Oryzias latipes: one gene and its partners. The protein of the gene in region 6 binds, or shares a complex with, the protein of the main gene of each other region. Links are inferred from orthologs where the notes say so. Each region holds a gene or a part of one and is shown on either strand. Other genes may lie near its edges. The genes, in order: cwc27, sf3b4, rbmx2, rbm48, ddx42, sf3b5 and snrpd2.

Region 1 (3,500 bases), on a different chromosome or scaffold from region 6:
CGCGGCCCGCGCTACGAGTAACGACCTGGCTAGCCGGCTTAGCTTCCACTGTGCGGAGCCGCGCTTCTAACTGCTCCAGCCTGGCCTCCAAGTCTAACACAAGACTACACTTAACACACCTACCCCTATCTTCACTAAAGGAGGCAGGATCATCACTAAACATATGGCACATGGGGCAGGAGAGAGGAGGAGAGGCGGAAGGAGTGGTGGTGGCCATACTAGGTTCTAAGCTAAGGCTAGCGGTGTTTAAGTAAAGAGAAGTGGTTTATTTAGCAAAATGAGAAAAGTGAACAAAAAGCGGTTTAACAGTGGTGAATTAGCTAATAAAAGGTACTAGATGTGAATATTAACCCAGATAACCCTTAGAGTAAGCAATAGTAGTAAGGCTAATGCCAAACAAGAGGACAGCAGTCACACAACTAGCACTGGGAATAGCTCACCCGGAAATGACGTCACAGGAAGTAGACACAAATGTATTGCTCGCCCATGGGACAGCTGGAACCGGGCCCCAGAGTGATAATAATAATAAAAAAAATGCCCACATTATTTTTTGCTTTATTTCTAATCAGATTCTGAAGGAAGTTTTACTTTGGAAAACTGCTGGATATTTTTTCTCCACCACATCCAACTCGTTCCTGACGCATGTTGGTCACCTGTCACAGTTCCATCCAGCACTTTTTTAAAGTGGCTGCGTCGACTGCTATGTCCAAACCCGAGAACAGATCCAGAGAGGAAACAGAAGAAGAGCCCTTTGATTTCAAAATAAAAGAAATCTGCAATTAACAGACAAAAAACAGTAGTTTTTCCACCAAATATGGATGTATTGTGACGGTTGTTCCCACAATCATAATGGTACCGGTAAATGGTGAATACTTTTCTAGGGATGCCAATATAGCATAGTCAGTTTGTTAGTTCATTTTAGTATTTTCCTATTGAACTCTTTGTATTCGTGATCCTTTTAAGTTCATGTTTTACTTCGAAGCCCATCGAGACGACTGTTGTTGTGATTTTGGGCTATACAAATAAAATTGAATTGAATTGAATTTTCTACCTTCCTGGAAGGCCCAAAGCCCTTTACAGTCACAGTCCCATTCACCCAGTCACACACCCATTCACACACTGATGGCGGCTCCGCTGCCGAACACTGGCGCCCACCTCCCACCAGAGGCAAGGTGGGGTTCAGAGTCTTGCCCAAGGACACTTTGACACATGGGGGGGCAGAACATGAAGACACCGGCTGTCTAATGTTACGAGGATGCTGCTGTTAAAGTTGTTCCAATGGAAGCTTCCTTATTACATTTAGAAAATAACCGTTTTAGTGTTTTGTTTTCCTTTATTTATCCGTCTTAGACGCTGAAGTTGGCGTCAGATTTTTCTGGTTCCACTTTAACCGTTAGGATTTAAGGCAGTAGCGGTTTTAAGCACGGGCCGTGAACGGCCTGAAACCTGCAAATTGGCAAATTTTTCTTGGATTTTCATTCAATATATACAACAGAGTTTTAGGGCCAGTGTACGAAAAAAACAAAAAATGTAATTTACGACAATGAAGTCGTAAATTCACGAGAAAGAAAGTCATAACTGTTAAATCACGAGATTTTAAGTAGTAAATTTACGAGAAAAACCTACTAAATTAACAAGTATTTTTCTCGTAAATCTATGACTTAAAATCTCGTAATTTTCCTTTTTTTTTTTTTTTTTAGTGGCCCTAAAACTCCCTCATAAATATAATATCTTTTGTGCATCTTTTGCTTTTTTATAGTGTTGATATTTGGACCTCAAGTCTTTAATAACAATATATTCTACAATTTATTTATGATTTAAATATTTGAAATATTCAAACATTAAACAACAATTTTCATGTTTCTTTTGTGTAGGTAAACTCAGCAGTGAACTCACACTTTATCAATGTATTGAATTGAACTATTTAAAACTTCAATTACGGTAGTAATATTAGAGAATATGCTATTAACGAACCGCAGGGATAAAATAAAGATTTATCTTAATTAGAAATGTTAAATAGGCTTTCTGGGCTCGTGAAAAGGGGCGTCCGGTTCACTGACCATCCTTTGTCGTCGTCCTCCGCCAGCTCCTCCACGTCCCCTTCCGGACCTTCGGTGATGGCTGACGACAGCTTAGACTTGAATTGATCCAGCAGAGCCAGAGTCTGTCCCAACACCGGAGAAACAACCATTTTAGCCGCCACACAAAAACCACAATCCGCGTGATTCGGCTCAGATTTGTAAAAATGCCAAACCAACTTTATTTATAGAGCATTTAAATTGTCTGTGCAGACTTGAAGTGCTGTACAATCGTGGAAACACTAAAAGACTATGAAAACAATACAAAAAAAACACTTATATGTACATTAAGTGGTTTAAAAGCTATCCTCTCAAATCGTTCATGTAGAAAAGACACATAATTAATAAAATTACTACATTTATAATGAAGTGGAACCAATAAAATAAGAAAAGACCCCTATAGGGGTCTTCAAAGCCACATTTAAAAAAGTGTTTCTTTTAAAAGTCCCACTCCAATCATCTTTAGATCTGTTGTAAAATCGTTCCCAGTGTTTTTTTTAAATTATGATGATGCTGTTTTTATCCAAAAGTCGTTCTCTAGAACATAGTTTCTGCAGAGTGACACGAGAAATTCACCCCTTTCCTTCCCTACCGCTGAGAGATCTTCGTTTACATGCTCTCCCTCTAGCTTCAGACCCCCCCCCCCCCCCCCCCCCCCAAACCTATTCAATAAAAACGGCGAGCAGTACCAGAGCTTCACAGACATACATGGATCTAGTCATCTACAATGGATGTATCAGAATGGAGCAGAGCAGATTTTTTACTTCACAAATACGATCTTTTTCAGTCAGCATTTTTTCTGTCTGCTCCTGATTCACAGCAATTTGAATAAAGAAATAAATAGAAATGCAATTTTCAGCTGAATTTTCTTCCTAAATGTCCTCCATCGTCAGAAAAATGCAAGAAAGAAGACGTTAAAAACACCATTTTCATCCGAGTGGGTCTTTAAAGGAGATTTGAAAACAGGTGGTGAGGAAGACTGTCTAACGTGAGATGGAAGATGGTTCCAAAAAGTGGCTGCAGCAGAAGTACGGTCCTCCTTATGTCTGGACTTTACTTTTGGGGTTTTTAGAAGCAGCTGACGTCAGTCAACACTCTGATGTGTTACCTGCTGTTCTCGGCCCGAGCCTTTCTTCTGCTTTTTCGTCTTCAGCCCCTCGTACTTTTTCCGTCCCTCCAGATATTCAGCCACTGCCTCATTGGTGGGCTTTTGCTCGGCTTCTGAAGACGGGACAGAAATGACAGATTACTGAAAAAACAAAAAACAAACAAAAAAAAAACACTTTCACTACTTACAATACAGTACATTTCCCAAACAAACAGTTTCCAAAGTACTGTACAAGGACTAAAATGAGATAAAAATGATTAATCAAAATAAAAACAAGGAAAATACTTTAGATTAGTCATATTATTAACAACCGA
Region 2 (3,625 bases), on a different chromosome or scaffold from region 6:
ATCCCTACTTCATGTTGACACCCCTGCAGACTTTTAGCATAGTCGTTTTTGATCATAATTAGAATACAAGACATATAAGTTCTCTGATCCGGAAATAAAATCCGATTCACGCGATTCAGCTCCGCACATCCCTGGACAGATTTGCTAGTTTTAAAGCAGTAAATGGTTTTACAGCAGGGATGTGGATGAGTATTTTGAAAGAGGAGTGGCTGACATGTGGTCAGAGATGTATAAAGTTTAAAAAGTCCTTCTTACTTTACTGCAGTGGATTCAATTATTTTAGCTGCTCTAAAAATACTTAACTTTTTTACTTAATAAATGAGATGCTAATTCGGATCCATCTAAAGCATGGGTGTCATACTCATTTACACCGAGGGCCACATCTGCATAGCGGCTGTCCTCAAAGGGCCAGATATAACTTATACATGTAACTAAATGTAATGAAAAATAAATGTAACTACTCCTTAATGTTAAATAACTCATTATTTACTATAAATTTTTAAAGTGACAATTACAGTTGCATAGAAAACATGTTTGCTTGTTTTTCCAGCATAAATCCTTTTAAATTTGATTCTGTCAGGTTAGGTTATATGGACAGTGTTTAAGTCCTAATGTATAGTTGCCCTGTCTACACCATTTTTTTTATTTTATTTTAAGAAATTAAAAACTTTTATGATCTCGCGGGCCACATAAAATGACATGGAGGGCCACATTTGGCCCCCGGGCCTTGAGTTTGACACATGATCTAAAGGAACCCTTCAAACATAATCTGTTCCAAACTTTGGTCTCATTTCTTTTTCAACTGTGACTAAAATCAGTACAGTGACCTAATGACCTACGGCTTTAGTTTGACTTCGGCCTGGGCGAAAAATCGATTGAATCGATTCGAAATTTTTGTTACGGGCAGTAAGGCAAACGACAAACAACAACATCATAGCTCACACGGAACAACAAGCGACAACATGGCTACCGGTGAGAGTGGGAAGTTTGTTCCCAAGAAAGGAATAAAATGATCTGTTGTTTGGAACTGGTCTGGGTTTACTGCCACAGACACACACACAGTCATTCTACAAAACCTATATAGTTAGTTCATTAGTTAGATAGGTAGTAGTTAGTTGTTAATGTTATTTGTTAATAAAGAATACTGGGTTGTAATTATTACTTGTACCGGTATTCATTTCTGCCGCTGCCGCCGAAGGATTTTGTGTTCGGCGGCGCCGGGCGGGGGGGTTGGCGGTTGACCGCGACCCCTGCTGCTTCATCACTGAAGTGATGGCTTTGCATATCGCCAAAGACATGACGGTACCCATATATACCGTGGAGAAGACGGGGTTTAAAAATTTGATTAAAACCTTAGACCCCAGATATGAGCTGTTTTGTTAATCCTCTAGAAAAAGGTGCTACTGTCAAGGTGAATGTTTGTCTACTTTAGTCTAGACTACAAAGTGTGACTGAAAACACAACTGGGACTTTGATTCCAAGAGTGTGTTCATTTATTTAGGATTCATCCCAGAAATGGGGGTTACATTTGTCTTGCGTTTGATTAAATAAAAGCAAAATTTGCTTTACGTTGTCTGCCGTTTGTACTTATTGCTTTCCTAAAGTATGGGGGGATCGGAAATCGAATAAAAATAAGTGAGTTAGCTGCTGATTTGTTGTCTCTGTGTTTTCACGTACGCTCCGTATTCTACATCCTCAGATAAAAACTGCAGTTTATTTATTTTTAAACATTTTTAGGAATTATTCATGGAAAAGTAAATTCAGTGATGACAGTTGATGCTTTTTTACACCAGAAAATGGTTTTAAACTGAGAATCTTTTCTTTTAAGAAATATGGGATATATTGATCATTAGGAATAAGAACATTTAGCCACTGGATATTTTAACAAATGTGTATTTATATAAAAAAAATAATGCAGAAAGCAGAGCACCTAAACCCCACAACTGTAACAAAATAGTTGAATAGTTTTTCTAAAAGAAAAAAAGGTTTATGTCCTTTTGCTGAGCGTGAGACTTAATCCCAGTCTTGTGCCTGGAGTCGTCTATATAGAGGCTTTTGGGTTTCTCCAATCTTCTGTCCTTTACTGTCCTCACTGCAGTGGATGGAATAATCACATGACTGGTCCCCAGGATTTTGTCCTTGACCTGTTGTAACACCCGTCAGTCTATCAAAGTACTACAAAACAAACAATATGCCTCAAGTTCTCTAAACAGTCTTGGTTACTTAACCCCACAAGAGCTTCACCCGATAGTTCATATTCACCGCCTCTCCTTGGCATCCTCCACCCTCCACATAAAAGGAATCCAAGTGACTCGCAGGGCGACGAAGTTCCATCCGTAGGATGAACCCACGTGGCTCATTCACAGTTGATGGGGTTTTCAGTCATTCCATGCATGTGGGGGTCTCACCCCATTGCAGAAATAAAATCCCCGTAGCTTCCATCGACGCGGTTGGACTCCTCTCCGACGTCTCCGGAATCTTCAACAGCACGTGTCTCTCTCCTTCACCCCCCTTTCCTCGTAATAATCAGTTTTTCGCCTGGGCGGCAGGAAGTCCCCAGGTAGCCATATTTGTAGTCCAAGAGTCTCCTGCCAATGTAGTAAAACGTCCACTGCTATTCATTCAAACATAAACTCCCAAGAAAACCACATAGACAGGACTTCACCTGTACATTATGTAGCAGGTGGTTTCAGCTGAGAACTCCACTTGAATCCTGAGGAAAATGCAGAAGACTACTGGTGCTTTCTCACATTTGATTCCATGATGTGACCCTCTCTGTGTCTCTCAGGTCCCCCGGTGCCTCCTGGTATGAGAGGCCCTCCTCCCCCCATGCCTCCCCCCGGCTACGGTGCTGCTCCACCCGGTCCTCCTCGTCCACCTCCTTTTGGAATGCAGAGGCCGCCAATGCCCCCCAGACCTCCAGTTGCCCCTCCGATGAGGGCACCAATGCCACCATAACCTGAACTGCTTAGCAAAAACTGGCTTTCGTTTGTTTCTTTAGAAAAAGTGTTAACATTTCCTCGCTTTAGTTTTAAACATGGATGTAACTGAACCTTCAGTTTGTTTTTGCTCAATTGTACAGTCAAACCTTTGCCCAATAAAACTTTTAATACGGTTTTTTCCTATTTATTTGTTTATTATGATGTTTTATTGTAACAAGTTGCAGCTGTTTGCAGCACAATTTATAAAATGTTTGATATTTTATGTATGTTTTTAAATTTTCTTTTTTGGTTGATAATAGACAAACTAAGATTTAAAAGCTTAAGAGAAAATGGTAAAAGGGAAGCAAAATTGTTTAATATGGACTCAATTTCATGATTAAAATCATAAAAAGGTGGTTTTTCTTTTGCAAAAAAGCCTGAAACATGATTTAGTTTAGTGATCAAAATCAGTTTTCTCTCCAAAAACACTTTAAGACGTGTCGCGTTTCTGCAGCCAAGTCAGTTAAAGGCAAATCAAAGTTGTCATGGCAACTGGAGTCAGGTGCGCTATTTGCACACTGGTGTGTGCGTTCAGCCTGTGCACACAATTCCACGAGTGTCCGCAGACCATTGTGTGTTTGCAAAACGCGTAACGAGGAATGGTAACCAAACAAAATTACGCACGCTCAATTAATGGACACGAG
Region 3 (4,277 bases), on a different chromosome or scaffold from region 6:
GGCTTCTCATGGAAGCTTTGTTTACAGGAGGATGTCAGCCAGCAGGGGGAGCTCTTCTGCTGAGGAGAGAATGTATCATTCTCCTCTCTTTACTCCTCCATCTATCTTCTGGAGCTCTCCTTGTCCGCCTCTCTCCTCTTCTCTCCTCTCCTTCTGTCCTCCCTCTCTCGTTCAGTCTCTCTCTTACTCTCCACATCTCTGTCTCTCCTCTTCTCCTCCCTCCTCCTCTCCGTCTCATTGTGTCCGTTCTGTGACCCCCCCGTGGCGTACTTGTCGTACGCCGTGTCTCGTTTTTCTTCTTTGACTCGGATGGGAGGTGAGGAGGAGGAAGCTCGGCTCTTCTTCTTCTCCTTCTTCTTTTTCTTCTTCTCTTTTTTGTCTGCAGCAGAAGAGTACAGGTGAAACTGACCCTCCCCCTCATAAATGACAGAACAGGAAGTGACCTCACCTTTTTTGGGTTTTTTCACAGGTATGACGAGCTGCTCGTCATCCTCAGAGGAGGACGGGGGGGCGGCAGGGCCCGTGGGGGCGCAGCCATCCTCCCTCAAGCGTTTGGTGACATCATCGATGTCCTCGCCGTCTTTGGGGGGGCGGTAGTTTTTTACGTGGTCTACGCGAATGGTGCGTCCTTTGATCTGGAGGGGAGAAAGAGCTTCATCATTAAGGATGCTCACAGTGGCGCCGCCCCGGGTGGGGGGTGGGGGCCTCACCTTGATGCCATTGAAGTTGTCCACAGCCAGGATGGTGCTGCGCTGGTCCTCGTAGCAGATGAAGCAGAAGCCTTTGGACTTTCCCGTCTTCTTGTCGCGCACCAGGTTGACGTTGACGATCTCACCGTACCTGAACGGACACATCAGTAAGCGGTGTGTGCCCCCACCCCACCCCAAAGCGAGGCTGTGGGTACGTACTGAGAGAAGACGCAGAGCAGGTCCCCCTCTGTGAGCTCGTAGGGGAAGCCTCCTGCAGGATCAGAACAGACGTCAACCACCTGCTTTCACGCTTCATTTACTGCAGGTTCCTGTGAGAAGCTCCGCCCCCTCACCCACAAAGATCCAGGCGCTGTCCCGGTACTCGCTGTGCCACGACACCTTCTCGTTGACCCCGAGGTCGGCCTCGCGCTCGTTCAGCTCGTTTATCAGCTTCACCTTCGTCAGAGGACTGAAACAAATCAACCGGCAGGAAACTTTCAGTGTTTTAGAAGACAGCAGTCAAGATTCTGTTCATTTAAACAAAGTGAAATAAACCTGAAGGTCAGCTTTCTAATATTCATGTTTCATCAATTTATTTTTTTATGCACCATCTCAACATAATGAACATTATGAAGATTTCAACCATATCTTCTTTGTCTCTTAGTTGCTACATTAATCATCCAGCTCTCTCCTCTATCGTCCCCACCAACAACCCTCATGCCCTCCTCTTCATCCATGAACTTCCTCTGTGGTCTTCCGCTAGGCCTCTTTCCTGGTTTCTGTAACCTCAGCATCATCACTGCTGCTCCTCCAAACCATCTCCATCTGCATTCATGTCCCAAATATCAACCATGATCTGCTCCTCTGATGGACTCATTCCTGATGCATCCTGGTCTCTCCCAAAGAGAACCTCAACATCTTCATCTCTGCTACCTTCAGCTCTGCCTATTGAATCGATATTGGAAACCACCGTTTGGATTGAGACCTGGTGAGGTCATTTTACTATAACATAAAGGCTGTGCCCCAAGTTCCCACCCTAACATAAAAAAAGAAAATTGCAAAAACTGTTCGACGCAATGCATTGTGGTTTATATTCACTCGATGCACACTGCTTTTTCGCAGAGACTTCTGGGAAATTTCTAGGGCACTCGACTTTGAAATTGTAGGTTCGGACAGCACTACAACATGGTGAATGTTGTGCACTATATAGGGCAATATATAGTGCACTACATAGTGCCCCCTAGGTAGTGAGTATTGAAGGAATTCAGACACAATCAAAATTAACAGAGTGCATTACAGCAGACAAAAAACATGTAATTTCATCAAAAACTGATCAACCATCATTCCAGTCCAAAACTGAATTTAGAAAGTCATGTGACCACACAGTGTGCTAGAATGTTCCCTTTGGATTCTTTGGATGTGGAAAAACAACAGTGGGCTGAACTTCAGGAAACTAAAATGTGGATGGATTTGATTTTAATTCTTTGTTTGTACATATTTAATTTAAACTTGATTATCTTGGAAGAAATCTAAGGAATCTGGAAAACTTCACATTTCAGTAGCAGGTATTTCTCGCTGAGTCACACTGGATGATGTTTTGGATAAAGATGTCCTGGATCCATTAGGTCACTGAATCGGATAAAACGAACAATTATCGAATGATTGAATCACATCAACAACCACTGATTGGTATGCAATCGTTACACCTCTAAAATGCAAATACAATCAAACGCAAGTACGAATTCAGTAGGTGGCTATTCAGTACCTGGTCTATTAAGTTTAAAAAAATCAAATTTGATTTTTTAGAAGTTTTTAGAAGTTTTTGAAGTTCTACAGTGGAGAATTTGAATGGAAATGGGGAAAAGGCGACACACACGAAACATAAAGCCTGCTGCTATCGGCTGGAATCCGCTCAACAGGAAACCAACGACCAGAAAAGGGATTCTCTACCAAATGAAAAATAAAAACTAATGTAATGGCTGTAGAGGGAAACGTTTACTTACTTCATGGTGAGCTCGAACAGCAGCGATGTTATGGTGCCAAAGACCAAGCGTGGAGAAGTGGTGCACTTCCTGTGGAGGTTCTGCGTGTGCTGCCGCCTGGTGGTTGGATGACCGAACTACAGATGAAATGAACGAGAAAACTGCGCGAACGCGAAGCGTCTAACACTGCCCGAATGCTGCTTTTAATAAACAAGAAATGTATTTATTTTATTTTTGTAAGAAATTGTGAAATGCTGAATGTTCTGTCTGTAAAAAGCAAGCGTCCAATCTTTCCGCCTGCACGACAGGTGGCGCTAACAAGCTAACAGTTCATTTTTAACAGGATGCAACACTTAAACCAGACAGTGGACGTTTTAAAGCGTGTTGTGTTTTTCAAGCTTTTAATGTTTAAATAACACCCTTTCTTAGAGTCGACATCATTGCAGGAGATTTTACGTGGAACTGGAAAATGATTTGTAATTCCACGTTAGCATGGCTTTAAAACACTTAAAGTTCAGTTTAAACGTCTGAACTGTGTCATCTTTTCAGGTAAATTCAGTTTTCCTTCGACTTGTCTTTACCCTATTCCGCTTTACTCAGTGTCACCTTTAACACGTTTGAGATTAATGTGTGACGCACACCTACAGTAGCACACACCAGACAATCTGATTGTTTATTGTTAGTTTATTTTTTTCCTCATAATAACTAGTTTCATGCAGTGAATATGAGATGCTGCTTGTTTGTCATTTCCCCCATAAACAGGGGTTTTCTCCTTTATTTCGGCTTGACTGCAGTTCTGCAGACAGACTTGGACGTGTTCCTGCAGATGTTGTTTCTGCAGATGTTGCAGTGGCACTGAAACTCCCCCTAGCTGTCCCACCGGGGTGAACTGTTGCCCCGACAGTCCTCTATCCTCTGCAGGATGATCCGGCAGCTCTTCATCTTGTCCTCGAAGGGCGACCCCCTCCTCTTCAGAGACTGTATCCTTCTCAGCTCTCACCTGCTTCTGTTTAAATCATCCTGCTTTGAAGTTCAGTTCTGCTATACAGTGAAAGATCTCCCCTTTGGGACAGACTTACTCTAGCAGGGGTACTTGTACTTGCCCATCTGGGGTACATTTTTTGCATCAGTCAGACACAGGTGTTTTAAAGTTGTTATTTTCAATGGTGATGGGCTTCTCTGAAGGCCTAAAAATTATCTGAATCATGTGTTAATTAGAGTTCGTCCATGCATTCTCATTAAATCATTCCAAATGGTCTGTCCATTCCTCTTTTAGTGTGTTTATGATGGTGATGCTGCTTCCAGACGTATTTTCACATTGGAACATTTAACCAATCACATTCCAGCTCTCCTTTGTTGCCAGGCAGGGTCAGAGCTACAGAGGCCTTCACTATCTGTTCTGCAGGCCCTCTAATGCAAAATCAATGTCGGAGATTAATTTCCCTCATCCAATCAGATTTTGAGTTGGTGTCAGCAGGGCCTTCTAGCAGGCTTAGACAGCGTCACAGTATTCAGACCCTCTGATTGGACAGAAGTTTCAGGAAGTCACATGCTTCCTTGTCCAGTTTGACACAGAGACATGGAGAATGATCTGTTCCCTCTCAGT
Region 4 (3,895 bases), on a different chromosome or scaffold from region 6:
GCGGCTTGAAGAGGAAGGCAGAGAAGACGACTATCAAGATGAACAGGATGAGATCAACGAACTGATGGAAATTGTCCTCAAAAAAATGGTGAGATGTTGCCCTCCCATCTGCCTTTGTCACATTTGGATCGATGTTGATTGTAAGAATTTTGTCTTGATGTGTGCAGATTTATTTTGGTAACATGCCAACATTGCTTCCTGTGATTCCACAGGACCACGACAAAGACGGCAGGCTGTCTTTTCAAGATTTTGAGAAGTCTGTAAAAAAGGAGGAGCTACTCCTTGAAGCCTTTGGAAGCTGCCTGCCCAATTTCAGGGTAATCACAACCAAAAGTTGCTGAGCTTAAAAATATTGTAAGGATCTATTTAACTTAAATCTTTCTTTTTAGACAAAGAAGAAGTTTGAGCAGCAAGTACTGGAAAAGCAGCAAGATGAATAATAAAATATGAAGTGCAAGCGGTGTTCAACTTTGAGACTTTCATGAAAGAAAAAGCCAAAATGTTTTTCTTAAAGTACAATTTTATTTTAAGTTGAGCCTTTCAACGTTAGTTTTGATAAATATGGACAGTCGTCACTAAAACAGAATGGATCATATCCGACGGCGTGGCTTAACCTTCTTCTCCGCTGGTTTGAGGTCTGGGACCGATGTCACCTAGGAATGAATGAAAAGAATGAGACTGAAATGCACCAATATGGCATCATGTCAAGCTCTAATTCTCATTAAAAAAAAAATAAAAGACTACCTGCTTCATTGTGCCCCTGATCAGATTTACTGTTGTGTTTAGCGACTGATCATTCATGTCCAGCTTATGTGGTTCTGGTAGTTTTGGTCCAATCAAAGACGGTTCTCCAGAATCAGGCACTGGCTGTTTTGTGGCCTCCTCCATTTTGCGGCGTTTGTTCTTTTCCAAATGTGCAGTTCTTGGAACAAGCTTGACGGAAGAATCTGGGTTGGAGGCCAATTTTTTTTCGGAATTAGGGTCTTTACTGAAAGAGCTAAAGTTCTGGACTTTCTGCTGTTTTACGTCAGGAGGCACTGCGTCATGTAAAGTCCCCATTTGATCTTCTGTTGGTTCGTTCCCACGATAATCCTGATGAAAGTATTCCTGCGGGGGTAAAGGCAGTAGAGGAAATCCGGAACAATGGCTGAAGCTTGAAGTCTCGCCTGTTTTGTCACTATTGAAGATTGGATTATTTGTAGCAAAAACTCTGCTTGATGTGGGAACGCTTTCTGAAGACGTAGATTCCATGTGTACCGCATCCGCTACTCTTTCTTTTGCTGTATAAACATGAAACAGATAAATGACACTCATCAAATTCTTTATCTATACTTTAAACTTACAAAACAACAAAAAACATTTGATTTCAGATAAAAATACACAAAAAAAATTTTTTAATCACAGTTTTTTTTCATTGAACTTTTAAAAAACAATTACCTAAGAAAAAAAAGATTCAGTGCTTTTCAACACCGTATATCGTCAAAATGCGATAATACCTCTACTCCGAGCCACTTTCAGAACATAACTTCTCCTGTCCTGCAGCTTTAACTTGGTGTCTTCCACAGACTCGTACTCCGGGACGTAACACACATGCAGCACGCCGCCATAGAAACTCTTCTCATCCATGTTACGTTTCGCCGCTCTGGAACATCAAATATCAACCTGAATGACATATTTTTCAGCATTTCTGGTTTAGGGCAGTACAGTTAAGGTGCCCGCCATACCTAGCACTTGTCAGTTTTTGAAACTTGACCAGGTAGACTTCTGTGAACTCCTCAGCAGGATACTCGTCCAGCGGTCTGTATTCCTCCACTGTTCCATAAAGAGCACACAACTGGATCAGCTCCTCCATCACTCCAATAGCGGGGACTCCCTGGATCATCACATAACGGGACTCTAAATTTATTGTGTAGACCTGGCAGATACAAAGGCATGGTTATTAGTATATGTGAGGCTGTTGACGTGACCAATAAAAATCAATTAACTTAAAGACATAATCATCAGATCTGATGTACTTTCCTGCAACTCAGAAATCCAGTCTACTGTATTAGAAATTTGATTTTTATGGTTTATTAATTACAATTTTTTCGAAATGACTCAAACTTTTTACCATGTCTTTTATTTAATTTTATTTATTTATTTTTGCCAAAACGACAGTTTTATTTGTTTTTTTAAGACCTGCCGTTGGTCTTTTATTTATCACTTGCTGTGTGACTACAATTTATACTTTTTTCTTCCAGTTAAAAAAAAAGATTTTAAAATTTTCTCTTACATTCTTAAATGTAAAAATAAAACCAACTTACACATAATTATTAGCTCGTCGCTTGCGTCAACACAGACCGTCTTTGCTACAAACATTAGAAACGTTTTTCTTACCTTGACTGCTTTAGCTCTCCTTCCATCTCTATATTTGGGTCTAGAAAAACATGCGTTGTGTTGTTCGTGATGTTTGTAGACTTCTGGGACCTTCCAACAACCAGGTTTACTGTTGACATTTGCCGCCATGTTTGCTGAAACGCGTTTCCGCTTTGGTGGCATTTCAAAACAAGAGTTCATTCCGTTGTGCAGAGCACTCAACGTGTAGTGTTGACGACGTGGCAGTCTTATTTTGAAATGATCGATTCCATCGACAATCGACTGTTTTGTCTGGATCAGTTCTCTCATTCATCGAAATGTTTGTTGCACTTTGGCCGTTAGCGCACCAGCATGTTAAGCACTTTAAATGCTAAAATAGCGATGTAAACGTCATGTTTAGCAACCAGGGAATTCAACCAGTATGTGTTGTTTTTAACAACACTAAAAACTGCTTTATTCAACTCTCTTCAAAGCTGATATCGCACCTTTCTCTGAATGAGGTAAAGTATTAGCTAATTACTTAACATCGCTTCAGTTTTGTTGCATAAAGTTTACTGAATAATGACTGCTTTTGTGTTTTACACATTGCTGGTTTGTTTCTCTGACATTACAAGGGGACCTTTGGTTGCATTTAAGGTTTTAGTTTTTCTTAATTAAAACTTATAACAAAAGCAGAGCATTTTTTTATTATCACGTGTACTTAATTAGTATTAGGAAGTAATGCAAGGCAACAAAAAATGAATTGTTGGTAAAAATAGAAATTGGGCATCAAATACTGTCCTCATTCAGGGGTCTTTAGTCTAAAGGAAACTGCATTGTTTTGATTTTTAACACATTAACTCCTAGAAATAGTTTAATTTAGAAAAGGTTGATTATTATAATAACTAATGTGATCATCTCAATATTTCTATATTTTGCTACCACACCTGTGGAATATTTTTGCAATTTTTTAATTTAATTCTTCTGCTGAGCATAAAATCTGAAATGTATGTAATGATACAAAATGTACAAGAATAAAAACTAATAAAGGTATCACAAGTATCTAACATTCATAAAGTTGGAATCATAATTTCGACATCCGCTTTAAGAGACCATTCTGTGTCTTATTTCATCGTCTCTCTTTGGCCGGTCCGTTTTAGAATCAGGCTTTGGAGCTGTCTTGGGACGGCGGGTCGACAGTGTTCCTTAGCTGGTGTCCCATCAGAGCCTCCTTAGGAGCAGACAGCCACAGAGTGGAGTTGTCTCGGCAGCTTGGAGAAAAGCTCGGTTTGACTGATGGAGAACAGGTAAAGACCTTGGTTTCTTCCTTTAGGTCATCAACTGGGACGAACACTGCCTGTGCAACAGTCTCTTAACATTGGTCTGACATTGAGTGGTTTTCACAGTGTTTTCTCAGACCATGCCATCAAGTCTCTTCGCTGAATCAGGTGTTTGTGGAGCCACTGTCATCTGATGACTGGGAGATTTTGGTGAGTGAAATATTGACTTTTGTGTAATTTGTCTAATTGCAGTTATACATTATCATGAAATCAATCTCCTG
Region 5 (2,909 bases), on a different chromosome or scaffold from region 6:
AAATATGTTTTTAAACACATTTATTTTTTTACTACCTTCACAAGAAAATGCAAACAAATTACATGCATAACACTGGAGGGAATACTTGAGCTAGGCATACACAAACAGCTCAAATTTAAATTTGCAGCCAATAACAAAACTAAATTTAGAGCTTTATCTAGTTTTATCCGACTTCCAGCATGCCAAGTCAGAGAAAATTGGCCCATTCTGTTCTTCATTTACATCATAACACAACCTGACACCAGAATTAAAACAAATTGGCTTTAAATCAGCTAGTTTTCTCCTTTTCAAACATGTTTATTTTTCTCCTCTCAAATAGAAACTCATTTGAATAATTGTTATCAGCAAGTGTATAAATGTTGTTTTTATATGTTTGAAATAAAACTATTTTTTACCTTCCAACCACCTAAAAGCTCCAAGAAAAGTTGGATTAACAAGCAAACAAGGACAAGACCACATGCCATGGGACTAAAATGTAAGACGAGCAACACTGTGTTGTCTTGATATGTGGATTTATTTGTAAATAATATGACTTCAATGAAAACCTCTTAGTAAACCAGCTTTGAAAGCAACACAGGAAATTAGGGGTTCATGAACAAGTGATAACACATGTCAAACTGGATTTTGTTTTTTTTTAATTCACAGACAACATTTTTCATTACAACTCTATTGCTTGACTTACAGTGATAGCAGCCTGGATGGCATATGTACAATGGCTGTCTTGAAGCAGTCATTGGAGCAAACGTGGTTTCAGAGCAAACAGTTAGATCTTAACCAACCTGACGGATTTTTAGGACAAGTTCACTCCATTTCAAGTGAACAGCTCTCTTAGATTTGTGCTTGTGCCAGCATCTGTCCTGCTACAGCTATAAATTTCTTATGGAGCAAATATTTGGTAGCACAAAAATGATATTATAACGTTTGCTAATGCTTTCCTTAGCTGTCCCATCTGCTTTTTCTCCGTTTTGGTGGGTCAGGGACCGCAAAGCTGTCATCTCTGTCCCTTCCTTCTCCGCTCCTCCTGTTTCCTCCATCTCTATCACTCCTGCCGTCTTCTCGATCTCTCTTGCTTCCGTCGCCATTACGGCTGTCGCTGTGGCGGCTGCCGCCGCCGTGGCGATCCCGGTCCCCGTGTCGGTCCCGATCCCTGTCTCCGCGGCGATCCCGATCTCCGTAGCGATCGTCTCCACTATGCCTATCACTTCTGTCGCTGTGGCGATGACTGTCTTCATAGCGCCCCCGCTCCTCCCCGTGTCTGTCTCGCGAGCTCTCCTTTGGGGAGGGGGGTGCCGGGGTGGCGTTGCTGTGCTGTGGACTGCTGGGGATGGGGGGCACCGAGCTCAGGGAGCCGGCACTGGTGAAACCAGCCATGGCAAAGTTGGCCATCTGAGAGCGTTCTGACCCGTTGGCAGCTTCTGTTGGGACGGAGCTCAGGCTGCCGGCGCTGGTCCAGCCGGAGGTGCTGCTGGACTTGGCGCTGAGCTTTGGAGGACCGCTGCATGCAGCTACAAAGTGGCTTTTATACTGAGCCTGGAATAAATAAATAAAAAAACACACCATAAGTGATCAGCTGGGAGGCAAAAGAGAACCAATAAATTCTTTACGTCAAACGTCATTCAAGAGATGTTACTTGAAACCCATGTAACCAATATTTCTTAGTTTAAAACTGTGCGACGTATTTTTAGTTAAAAATGAGACTGCCGAGTGGCTCCCGCTTGCGGCTAAGTTCATACGCAGATTCTCAGAAAACAGAACCGGTCTGTGTTCATTGACTTTTGTTTGTTGCTTTGCACTATGTTCGCTTGTCGTGTGTTTACACGATGACAACAAAAAGATCAAGACATCAAGCTGCCATTGCTGTGTCCCTGAATGAGCAGCATCCGCTAAATGTAAACTCATTAAGTTTCCACTCTTTTCCCAACAGATATGGCGAGTTAGAAAAGAAGTGGGATATAATATTTGGCAAAAATCCCTTATAAAGCTTTCAATTCTTAAGAAGAGGAGCCGTGTCTGTTCTTTTTGAAGGGAACTTGCTTAATGCCGTACGTCCTGCTGTCTGGGAATAAATTACCGGGAAGAGCAGATGATGGCTTTCGGATGTACGGATGTCGCAGACTTGGAGATGAAAGAATTGCAGTATATATGTATGTTTGTGTTTTTGCAGAGGTGTTGAGTTTCTAAAGACAGTATTTTTTGTTACATGTCTACATGTCGCATGCTCCGTTTCTGTCGCTTGTTCTAGTCTAGACCCGCTTGTTGACATTACTGCGGCTGACATTGACACTGCAATAACAGGTCCTGAAAACAGGCTTACAAGTTATGACCAGCCGATGTCCTTCTAGAGCCAGATTTCCTTTTTTTTTTTTGTGTGACTTTAGGGAGCTCCAAAAGATATCTAGAAAACTCTAAAGCCCCAACCATTTTCCTGTATGCCACACGTTTCCGCTAAAGGAATCTAAACCTAAAATTACTTACACTGAATAAGGAAGTAGCATGTGCATATAGCCTAATGTGGTCATTTGTTAGTTGAATGTAAAAGCGAATTTCTAATGAGCTCCAGCTGCTCTGCAGAAAATCTGTCCTAAAAACAAAACAGGCTTTTGGATTTTGGCTGCACAATCATCTTTAAAAGAGCACTGGAAAACAGTTTGACCAAAGAAGAAAAATACAGTTGGGAGTGATTGGGACTGTCTAGAATAATTCCATCCAAATACCAGACCTTTATCTAACTTAAAAGCAAAAAGAAAGCAGACGAAGAGAAATAATTGTGGCACGACACCGATATGTAAAGAACTAAACACGGAGCGTACCTGGAAGGCTTGTTTCAATGCAGACATGCGATCCCCCATAGCTCCGGTGGTTGGTTTGCTGTAACCGTCAAAGCTACTGGCTGAAGGCAAACTGCTGCT
Region 6 (4,225 bases):
AAAAAACAAAATCATATATTTTAAGCAAAAACAAAACCACTGCTATAGCCATTGCTGCTCCTTCAACAAAGTCCTAAGGATGACTTTGGTCTTTTTCTTTTTACAATAAAACGTCTTGTTTGGATGATTTATTCATTTAAACGTTCTCACTTTTTTAAATGCGTTTTAGAAAACTGACATATTTCCAGAATAAAATGATCAGTGAAAGAGCTTAACCAAAGGAAAAATAATGTTTTCATTAGAAATACAACAGTTCAACATTGTGCACATATTGGACATTTTTAACATTTTCTGAAATGGATAAGTTCAGGTGTCGTCATTCTCATTCGTTTCCTGAAAGCACTACAGTTAATGTATTCACCGATCAAACAAGTGAGAATAGCTTCAGTGAACACATGAATACCAGATTTTACTGGCTGCTCTGACCTCAAGGTTAGAAACAAACAACCGTCCAAAACTGAAAAAAAGAAAAGGTAAGAGGGAAAAAAAGCTGCAGCAGTTGGTTGGGCTGTGTTTTATGCATCATCGGGTTTGTCTGCAGGTGGTCCACATGGCTGAAGCATCTTCTCCATCAAGTTGAAGCGAACACGAGCTTTGCTTTCATTTTCAGCGATGGAAAAGTAGTTGAGCAGGTCAAAATGACCCATGTAGGAGCAATAAGAGTCACGGTGCTGGTTCACCAGCCATTCCCATTTGGTAGTGTCAGCATGCCCTGTTCCGATGTACTTGGACTGGAGATGCTCCAGCTGACTGTGGATATTGTATCGGTCAGTCATTCTCTCTGAGATCAGTCAACAGGCTCTGGGAGAAAGAAAGTAAATCAGAGATTTGAATTGTGCTTCAGCAAACAGACGATCCAGTCAGATAAACTCATAAACAAGAAGGTTTTAGTTATTCTTGTGACATTTGTGAGGAAAATTACAATTCAAAGATAAAAACAAAATAATTTGAAGGAAAAAAAAACTCAAAATAATGCCTTTTTTATATTATATGGTGGTACATGTAAATAAATTAAACCTTTAAGAAGCAAATGTTATAAACATGGCTAATGGTAAATACACTTCACAAGCCTATAAAATTCTATTATGTGTCTCTCCAATGAGTGGGGAGCATCTGAAAGTAAAGATTACCACATCCAACTGCTAAACTTCAAATATATCAATGAATGTCAGTTATACCATGGTCCAGGTGAATGCTCCATTCTGATTGGCTGCTGAGTGGGGATTAAGTAAGGGATAGTCACCAACAAAGTATACGTTGCCAGAAATTAACGCACGCCGTGGAAACCCAAACTGCCCGATGCTTCCGTTGATTATTAGTGCGTTGATTATCCTGCTTTTACCATGGTCACTTACAAAACAAATACATTTTCAATCAGTTTTTAGTCATTTATTCTTGTTATTTTTTCGGTTTACGTTGCTTTTTTCAAAAAAAGCGGACTTTTTGCAACATGGTGTGGCGTGTTGTCACGTTACCGTAACATGACAACACGCTGAGCTGGCACCGACCTCCACTGCAGCAGTAAAAGCCATAAATAAGCTGATCGTCATGATGGTGTATGTTAAATTAAAGCATCAGTTCAGAATGAAGGTTCACCGCTCACCGCTTGTTTTTATCCAGATGATGAAACAAATGTCTGTTTTAAAAAAGCCGGCGCAGTGACACAGAACATCTAAGCAATGTAACTGGAACTTCTTTTTTTAGACGTGCGGTTATCACTTTTTTAATGCACACTCAGCAGCCAATCAGAATTGAGTATTCACCCGTACCATGGTATAATTTCTGATAATGGACACCTCAAAGGTCATTATCCGTCTTTTAACGGACGACAAGGAAGCTTAAACTGTCAAGACACCTTGTCAGCTATTATCCTTTACTTACCCAGCATCCCCACAAAAATCTTATAGGACACATTGAACACATACCCATTCACCAGTCTATTATTAAACTAGTGTAGAAGTAGAATAATTATTAAATTACTATACTTTGCAGTGGTGTGTATAAACATCAAAATAAAATATTCAGTAAAAACAAAAATATTAATAAACCGTAGAGTTGAATGTCTAATACAGACTTTTCCCCTTATGTTTCTTACGTCCCTTTTCTCCAGATCATATGCAGTTTACTTTGACATAATGAAATACAAAAGCTTTGTTTTGTTGTTTGCACACCAACAAATTCTGTATTTCTTAGATTATCATCCCTTTCAATAACATGAAACAAGTTTTGAATTAGTGTGACAAATTAAAAACAAAGGCATGACTGATTTGTTAGAATTACAGGAAAACGACGGATTTCTCACAGCTATGCAGATTTGAACCTTTTAGCCTAGCTAAACTGCTAGAAATTCTGGTCTTAAGGAAAGGACTCCTCGGAGAGTCAATGGATAATTTTCCCATGAGGAAAATCAATATAATGCACAACTACCAGAAATTAAATAAAATCGTGTCATACTTTATTGCAGATATTTACCATTTATGGTATATGACCGTTTTTGAAAGCACGACTATCCCTTTAAAACAAAGTTACATTTTACTTTGTTAGCTTGATCCTATATCATTAGCCTGGGTCTCGGCTAATAACCTATTTAAACTCCTGAACTTTAGTTTCTCTCGTAGCCAGCGGTGCAACTTCCATGTGGCCATCGATGATATACATATAAAAGGTCAACTTACTTGAAAAGCGCGGGTTTGAAAAACAGGTGAAGCTTGAAAAAGATGATAAAAACTGCGTCCGTCCGAACACACCGCGACGAGCAGAAGCTGGCTTCCGGTTTGCCTTCGACTTAACAAACCGGTGAGAAACCGAGACGGTGTTTTTTTTGTTCCGACTTTTTATTCCTAACGCGATGGTAAAGGTGGACACCAAAGTGAACGACATATAAAACCTCATTTTATGGAAAGGTGAAAGGCAAGTCAAATATTCTGTATCTATTCCTTTTTTTTTTTTTTTTTACAATGATAATTATATATATTCTTGGTCATAAACAGGTTAGGAACAATATTTTTAGATCTGAAAACAGTTTCAGGTTTTCGGTTTTAAAACAGCAGGCATTTAATGAATGTCAACTGTAGTGGACACCAGGACCATTTTAATCTATTTAATGGCTACACATTATTTTTAGGTGAAAGAAGTGAAGCTGAGAGGATTCTGTACCAGATAGTCGAAGGTTGATTCATATTTGGAGCTTTCGGATGATGAAAAGGATGAGGAGGGTGAGATTCAGTCTGTGATAGGTGATGATGAAGATGAAGAAGATGATAATTCAGGAGAATCTGATGAGTCAGAGAAGGTGCAGCAAAGTCTTCGTGCTCTGTGGACCAGGACTAACTTGCATGTTTTATTTAGTTTCAGGCTAATGTCTTACATTTTATGACCATGTTAGAACATTGTAGTGTTTGTACTATGTTTAAATGGAAAAAAAAAAAACTGCTTTTTTTATTAACTTGATTTTTTTTGTGTTTTTTAAACGTACATCATCACAGGTTTACACCTGTGCTAGCAGGGCGCCCCGCTCAAGATGACCCCAAAGTTTGTGAATACTGGAGTCCAATCTCGTACTTTTCACAGTACATCGATAACAATATTTTCGAGGATCATCTAATGTTTTTTGGGTGAATATCACTCTAAAGATTTAATCTGCTCCTTTTTTCTGATTTTCCAAATTGATCTCTATTTTCACAGAAATATCATCCTGTTGTCTTCTATCTACAATAAAAAATATTTTTAAAAAAATTAAAATTGTTAGGTGTTCTAGGCCTAAATAGATAGGAAATCACATAAAAACAGGAATTGTAAGACACTTTTTTTCCTCGGTTCTCAGGAGGTTGAATGTTTTTTTAAATTTTTACATTAAAGTTTTACATTAGACAGGAATGGTCTGATGGTTTTCAGATGTCAGTATGTGACCAGTGGCCATGTATTCACGTGTGCAAAAAACCCTGCTTCGTCAGTATTACTAAATGTGCTACATAAATCAAGTAAAGTTACAATATTTTTCAGTGATTCCAATATTTTATAATTTCTTTCATGCTATTTATGACACAGAATAAGAAACAGAACAACCTCGTTCCTTTTTTTTTTTTAAAAGAAGCTCCATTTTAAAGGAAGAACATCACTAAAGTTTATAAATAATGCATGTTCTGCTGCTTTACTGGGCAGCACTAAAAATTGGGTTTGTTGGCAAAATATGCAAACTGTCATGAGTTTGCAGTAAACAAATCAA
Region 7 (3,940 bases), on a different chromosome or scaffold from region 6:
GTTTAATATATTTTATATAGTTTTTCACATTTTAAGAGACATGATTCATAATAAAGGTGCTCAATAGTTCTAAAGATACTAAAGCTAATGTCAGCAAACTTTCTGTACTGACTAATCATGACCCTATTGTCCCCCCCGTTCCGTTTTCGTACACAGATCAATTTTGACACAAGTTTCTCACAAGGAATGTGTCAGAAGTCAGAGCGCAGTTGTTGTGCACTTGTGATGTGCGCCAGCAGATTCACATTTGAGCAGTTGTAATCCCAGATTGGAGGTTGTAACTCTAAATGGGAATTTGTCAGTTCTGATTTAGTTTGTCAGACTTTACAGCAGAAGATTTTTACACACAGATGCAGATTTTTGGTGTGCAAGTTCTCACATTGTAAATTACAAGTTCTCACACCAAATCTACAAGCTCGTCTATTTAGACACATTTTTACCTTCATACTAATAACTCACTGGCATTTGAAATCTTGGGGTGCTCAGGTGGATTTGCTCACATACGTAATCTATTCTTTTAAAAACCAAAAAGATCAGAAAATTACAATGCAAGAACTATTGAAATAAAACATCTTGCAATCTCCCTTCTTCATTGCTTAAGCTTTGTAAGAAAATTTGATTTTATTACACAAGTGACTACATATAGAAATCTTGCTGTTGACATCTAACCCTTAAAACAGGTTTAGTATTTAAGAAGTGGCTTTTTATTCAACTCATACTTGATAAAAAAACAAAACAATGCTTCAGAGAATGAAATCATTCAAACCCCACACCCACATCAGGCACAGTACCCAATGTGGAGGAGATGCTATGGACGCCTTTTTAATCTCTTACATTTGTGAGCTTATATTTAGTGTTTTACTTGTATTTGAATTCTTCTGAATGTATTTTATTCTTGATTCTATTAAAGGAATATGTCAAAGAGAGGAGGGAATAATTGAAACATTTTAGAATAAAACCACTGTAAGGCGCCATGTTATTTCAAATCCTGGAAAGAAGAAGAAAAAAAGACTGCAAAAATATGCTTTAGTGAAGCAACACTTTCTAAATCAAGATGCAAGCTCTTCGTGTTTGTTTCCTCTTCATATAAAAGTCCTAAATACACACTTAAACCTCTCTCCGCTACACCAGCAGCCCCCCAATACCTGTCGAATGCTTTGACTCTTCCAAGCAGCTTCTTGTTGTTGCGACAGTTAATGAGGACTTGGGTGTTGTTCTTGACTGACTGGGTGAGCACCGACAGAGGGCCAGTGTTGAACTCCTCCTCTTCTCTTTTCTGGAGCTCTTCAGGCGTCATCTCTGACTTAGGTTTCGTTAGAAGACTCCTGTGGATTAAACAAGTTCTGAATTAGTGATAACAGCAAACAAAATAAGCAACGATGTACTGTTTAAGCATCGACTGCTTGGGCGGCCTATTATTTGGATTTGGGCCTTTTTATTATTATTCTTTTAAATTAAAAAATAAATATAAAGACACAAACGCAACACTTTCGTATTTAATGCACACACAAGCATTAGTTACTGTTAATGCGAATCCAAGAGTTGGCTTCATCTGTGTGCCTCAACAAAATGATCATTTTCTTATAAAGTCAAGTTAGCACAAAAATGTACAATATAGGCAAGACATCTGAAAAGTGGAACCAGCTAAAAAAAGTCTCAGTTCCTGCAAAAGAGCATTTATGAGAGCTGAAGCTGTTGACTGAAAGTGCTCAGTTAATAGAGACATTTGAGAGGCAGAAGGTGCTTAAGCAGGAAAATGGACCACAACCAAATATCTAAATAAAACTAAACATGCAAAACTAGTATTAACCAGAAAACCATTGTACAGGAGACATTACATCAGACGGAATCAAAACTATTGAGGAATTATCTCACACACACAATAAATGCTTTGGTCATTGATAAATTGAATCAGTACATTTTAGTCTCGATATTTCTTTATATTTGTACAATGATCACTACAAATAGGCAGAAGTAAAACCTACTTTAAAAAAAATGGCTGCTCTGGATGATAGAGAAACAATTTACCTAAATAAAGGTCAACAAATACTAGACTTTATAAAAGGATCAAGTTTTAAAACATTAAAGCCTCCCGCCACCCTTAAATGAGCACAGAACATTTATTGTTTCCAGATACATTTGAAGTTTTCAACAATCTCTGAACAGTGTGTGCTTTGAGATCAGCAAAGAGTTTAGGCTCTTTACGCACAAAATATTTAGAACAAAACTTTGGCTTTCACACAAAATGAGTCTATAACCGACGACTTTGATCATATCATCTTGCAGAAGCTTAAACATTTCTACTTTCTAAAGAATGAATGCTGCAATCGCACAACGAGGACATTTACTCATGATGGATAGAGCAAGCTAACAGTCTCATTAGCAATTAGCTAATGAGGCTTAGTACGTCCATCAAGCTTTCGCGCGATGTACAATCACAGAATTTAGCTTTGGACGTAACTTTTTAAACAATTTAATTTGAGAATGCAGTAATTGCAATGTAATCCAATTTAACACATTTCTAAAAACCACCCACTAGGCCACACAAAGCGATCTAGCACCAACTCGAAGGAAAATGCTGCTAGCTTAATAGTGCGATCTCCATATTAGCAGCTAAACGTAAAAAGTAACATTGCCCTCAACATCGAGACACAATAGAAGATACTAACATGATTCCTGGTTTATAAAAACCGTTTAGTAAAGTTCCAAAGCCTCTTTCGTGCGTCGGTCGTGTCTACAACGTTTTAGCCGACAGTCGCGTGCACAGAATCACTTCCGGTGATATTAACGCGCTTAAATAGAATAACTTCCGGGTTACGACGCAAACCAAAAATTCGAAAAATATTCTATTCTTTTTGGCAACAATAGAAAAAAAATCAAACAACGGTCATCAGCTAAAATATTCTATTCTAATCTTGCATCCATCTCTAGTAATTTCGTTACTGAAGCCGAAGTTAAAACTGTTATGAATGCCCCAGCATTCATGCAGCAATTTAACAAACGACATTATAGAACATGTTTAAATAAATACACGAAAAAGATTAATTAAATACAATTTGATACATTTAAATTCAGCATTGCTTTTATCCAGTTATTTTGCATTTGCAGGATATCAAAGTCCAGGTTGACAGTATCAAGAAATAATATAAAATAAAAGAGACGTTGCTTAGTCTGTGACCTTTGCCTGGTAAACAACAACAACATTATTAACAACAACAACAATTAAAATATTGGAAATAACAACAACAACAATAATAGTAATAATATTAATAACAACAAAAACAATAATAATAATAATAACCTTTCCTTTTTTTCATATGTGCCACGTTCCAAATCACAGATTGCCTTATCTATTATTGTAGGTGCTAAACAAATGATGCAGCATTGTTCATTTGTATTTTTAGCAGTATTTTTAAACTCATTTATTTGAAAAATATAATTCAATATCAAGAAACTATAAACATGGCCTTTTGTAACTGCATTTTGCAAATCAAACAATACAAAAAAACTTTAATAGTAAAAGTTTTAGGCTCCAGGTTTATTGCTGTCATGTCTTGCATACATGGGCAGCCGTGGTAGGGTGGTCACCCTCTGATCGTTAGATTGCAGGTTCGATACCCGCCCTACCGTTGAAGTGTCCTTGGGAAAGACGCTGAACTGAACACCACCTTGCTTCTGGTGGAAGGTTGGTGCCAGTGTTCAGCAACCAGGAAACCAGTATGTGAATCTGTGTATGAATAGGTGACTGATTTTGGCCTTCAAGGAAGGTAGAAAGCGCAGTACAATTATACGCCATTTACCATTTATAATACAATTATAAAAAGTTATAAGATGCATTATAGTGTCATTTAGAAACTCTCACAACTGAGTTCTATGAGATCTACAGCAGGTGTATTTATCTAATGTTAGTCTAATATAAGTTTTGTTTTGAAGAGATGTC

Evidence for each region.
Region 1: sf3b5 (region 6) and cwc27 share a complex: the UniProt entries of both Homo sapiens proteins name them as parts of the minor spliceosome. The link is inferred for Oryzias latipes from reciprocal best matches to the Homo sapiens genes SF3B5 and CWC27.
Region 2: sf3b5 (region 6) and sf3b4 share a complex: the UniProt entries of both Homo sapiens proteins name them as parts of the SF3B subcomplex of the 17S U2 SnRNP complex. The link is inferred for Oryzias latipes from reciprocal best matches to the Homo sapiens genes SF3B5 and SF3B4.
Region 3: sf3b5 (region 6) and rbmx2 share a complex: the UniProt entries of both Homo sapiens proteins name them as parts of the minor spliceosome. The link is inferred for Oryzias latipes from reciprocal best matches to the Homo sapiens genes SF3B5 and RBMX2.
Region 4: sf3b5 (region 6) and rbm48 share a complex: the UniProt entries of both Homo sapiens proteins name them as parts of the minor spliceosome. The link is inferred for Oryzias latipes from reciprocal best matches to the Homo sapiens genes SF3B5 and RBM48.
Region 5: the proteins of sf3b5 (region 6) and ddx42 are in contact, whole or in part, in a cryo-EM structure (PDB 7EVN), measured with the Homo sapiens proteins. The link is inferred for Oryzias latipes from reciprocal best matches to the Homo sapiens genes SF3B5 and DDX42. Residues at the interface, in NP_112577.1 of Homo sapiens: Arg4, Tyr5, Thr6, Ser9, Gln10, His13, Leu14; in NP_031398.2 of Homo sapiens: Asp156, Ala159, Tyr160, Phe161, Tyr163, Met164, Asn167.
Region 7: sf3b5 (region 6) and snrpd2 share a complex: the UniProt entries of both Homo sapiens proteins name them as parts of the minor spliceosome. The link is inferred for Oryzias latipes from reciprocal best matches to the Homo sapiens genes SF3B5 and SNRPD2.

The regions. Positions count from the first base shown.
Region 1 is NC_019870.2:3,013,862-3,017,361, forward strand, and holds part of cwc27 (peptidyl-prolyl cis-trans isomerase CWC27 homolog), read right to left. Parts: intron 3,300-3,500; coding exon 3,187-3,299; intron 2,165-3,186; coding exon 2,061-2,164; intron 750-2,060; coding exon of another isoform or gene 701-749; exon of another isoform or gene 523-700; intron 496-522; exon of another isoform or gene 260-495; intron 1-259. UniProt on the Homo sapiens protein: As part of the spliceosome, plays a role in pre-mRNA splicing. Probable inactive PPIase with no peptidyl-prolyl cis-trans isomerase activity. As a component of the minor spliceosome, involved in the splicing of U12-type introns in pre-mRNAs.
Region 2 is NC_019869.2:7,220,376-7,224,000, forward strand, and holds the end of sf3b4 (splicing factor 3B subunit 4), read left to right. Parts: intron 1-2,788; coding exon 2,789-2,958; 3' UTR 2,959-3,125; downstream 3,126-3,625. UniProt on the Homo sapiens protein: Component of the 17S U2 SnRNP complex of the spliceosome, a large ribonucleoprotein complex that removes introns from transcribed pre-mRNAs.
Region 3 is NC_019872.2:23,467,974-23,472,250, reverse strand, and holds the start of rbmx2 (RNA-binding motif protein, X-linked 2), read right to left. Parts: upstream 2,801-4,277; 5' UTR 2,698-2,800; coding exon 2,693-2,697; intron 1,159-2,692; coding exon 1,043-1,158; intron 961-1,042; coding exon 909-960; intron 841-908; coding exon 711-840; intron 636-710; coding exon 449-635; intron 380-448; coding exon 102-379; 3' UTR 1-101. Other genes in the region: ap4m1 (AP-4 complex subunit mu-1), read left to right, coding at 3,594-3,651. UniProt on the Homo sapiens protein: Involved in pre-mRNA splicing as component of the activated spliceosome. As a component of the minor spliceosome, involved in the splicing of U12-type introns in pre-mRNAs.
Region 4 is NC_019869.2:21,761,674-21,765,568, reverse strand, and holds rbm48 (RNA-binding protein 48), read right to left. Parts: upstream 2,554-3,895; 5' UTR 2,539-2,553; coding exon 2,377-2,538; intron 1,916-2,376; coding exon 1,725-1,915; intron 1,643-1,724; coding exon 1,497-1,642; intron 1,281-1,496; coding exon 745-1,280; intron 739-744; exon of another isoform or gene 654-738; coding exon 591-653; 3' UTR 501-590; downstream 1-500. Other genes in the region: efcab1 (EF-hand calcium-binding domain-containing protein 1), read left to right, coding at 1-88, 213-317, 390-440; pex1 (peroxisome biogenesis factor 1), read left to right, coding at 2,748-2,855, 3,495-3,641, 3,741-3,824. UniProt on the Homo sapiens protein: As a component of the minor spliceosome, involved in the splicing of U12-type introns in pre-mRNAs.
Region 5 is NC_019866.2:4,153,514-4,156,422, forward strand, and holds the end of ddx42 (ATP-dependent RNA helicase DDX42), read right to left. Parts: coding exon 2,811-2,909; intron 1,531-2,810; coding exon 937-1,530; 3' UTR 501-936; downstream 1-500. UniProt on the Homo sapiens protein: ATP-dependent RNA helicase that binds to partially double-stranded RNAs (dsRNAs) in order to unwind RNA secondary structures. Unwinding is promoted in the presence of single-strand binding proteins.
Region 6 is NC_019873.2:17,221,611-17,225,835, forward strand, and holds the start of sf3b5 (splicing factor 3B subunit 5), read right to left. Parts: upstream 2,801-4,225; 5' UTR 2,676-2,800; intron 802-2,675; 5' UTR 777-801; coding exon 516-776; 3' UTR 1-515. UniProt on the Homo sapiens protein: Component of the 17S U2 SnRNP complex of the spliceosome, a large ribonucleoprotein complex that removes introns from transcribed pre-mRNAs.
Region 7 is NC_019871.2:25,537,851-25,541,790, forward strand, and holds the start of snrpd2 (small nuclear ribonucleoprotein Sm D2), read right to left. Parts: upstream 2,801-3,940; 5' UTR 2,672-2,800; coding exon 2,670-2,671; intron 1,326-2,669; coding exon 1,146-1,325; intron 1-1,145. UniProt on the Homo sapiens protein: Plays a role in pre-mRNA splicing as a core component of the spliceosomal U1, U2, U4 and U5 small nuclear ribonucleoproteins (snRNPs), the building blocks of the spliceosome.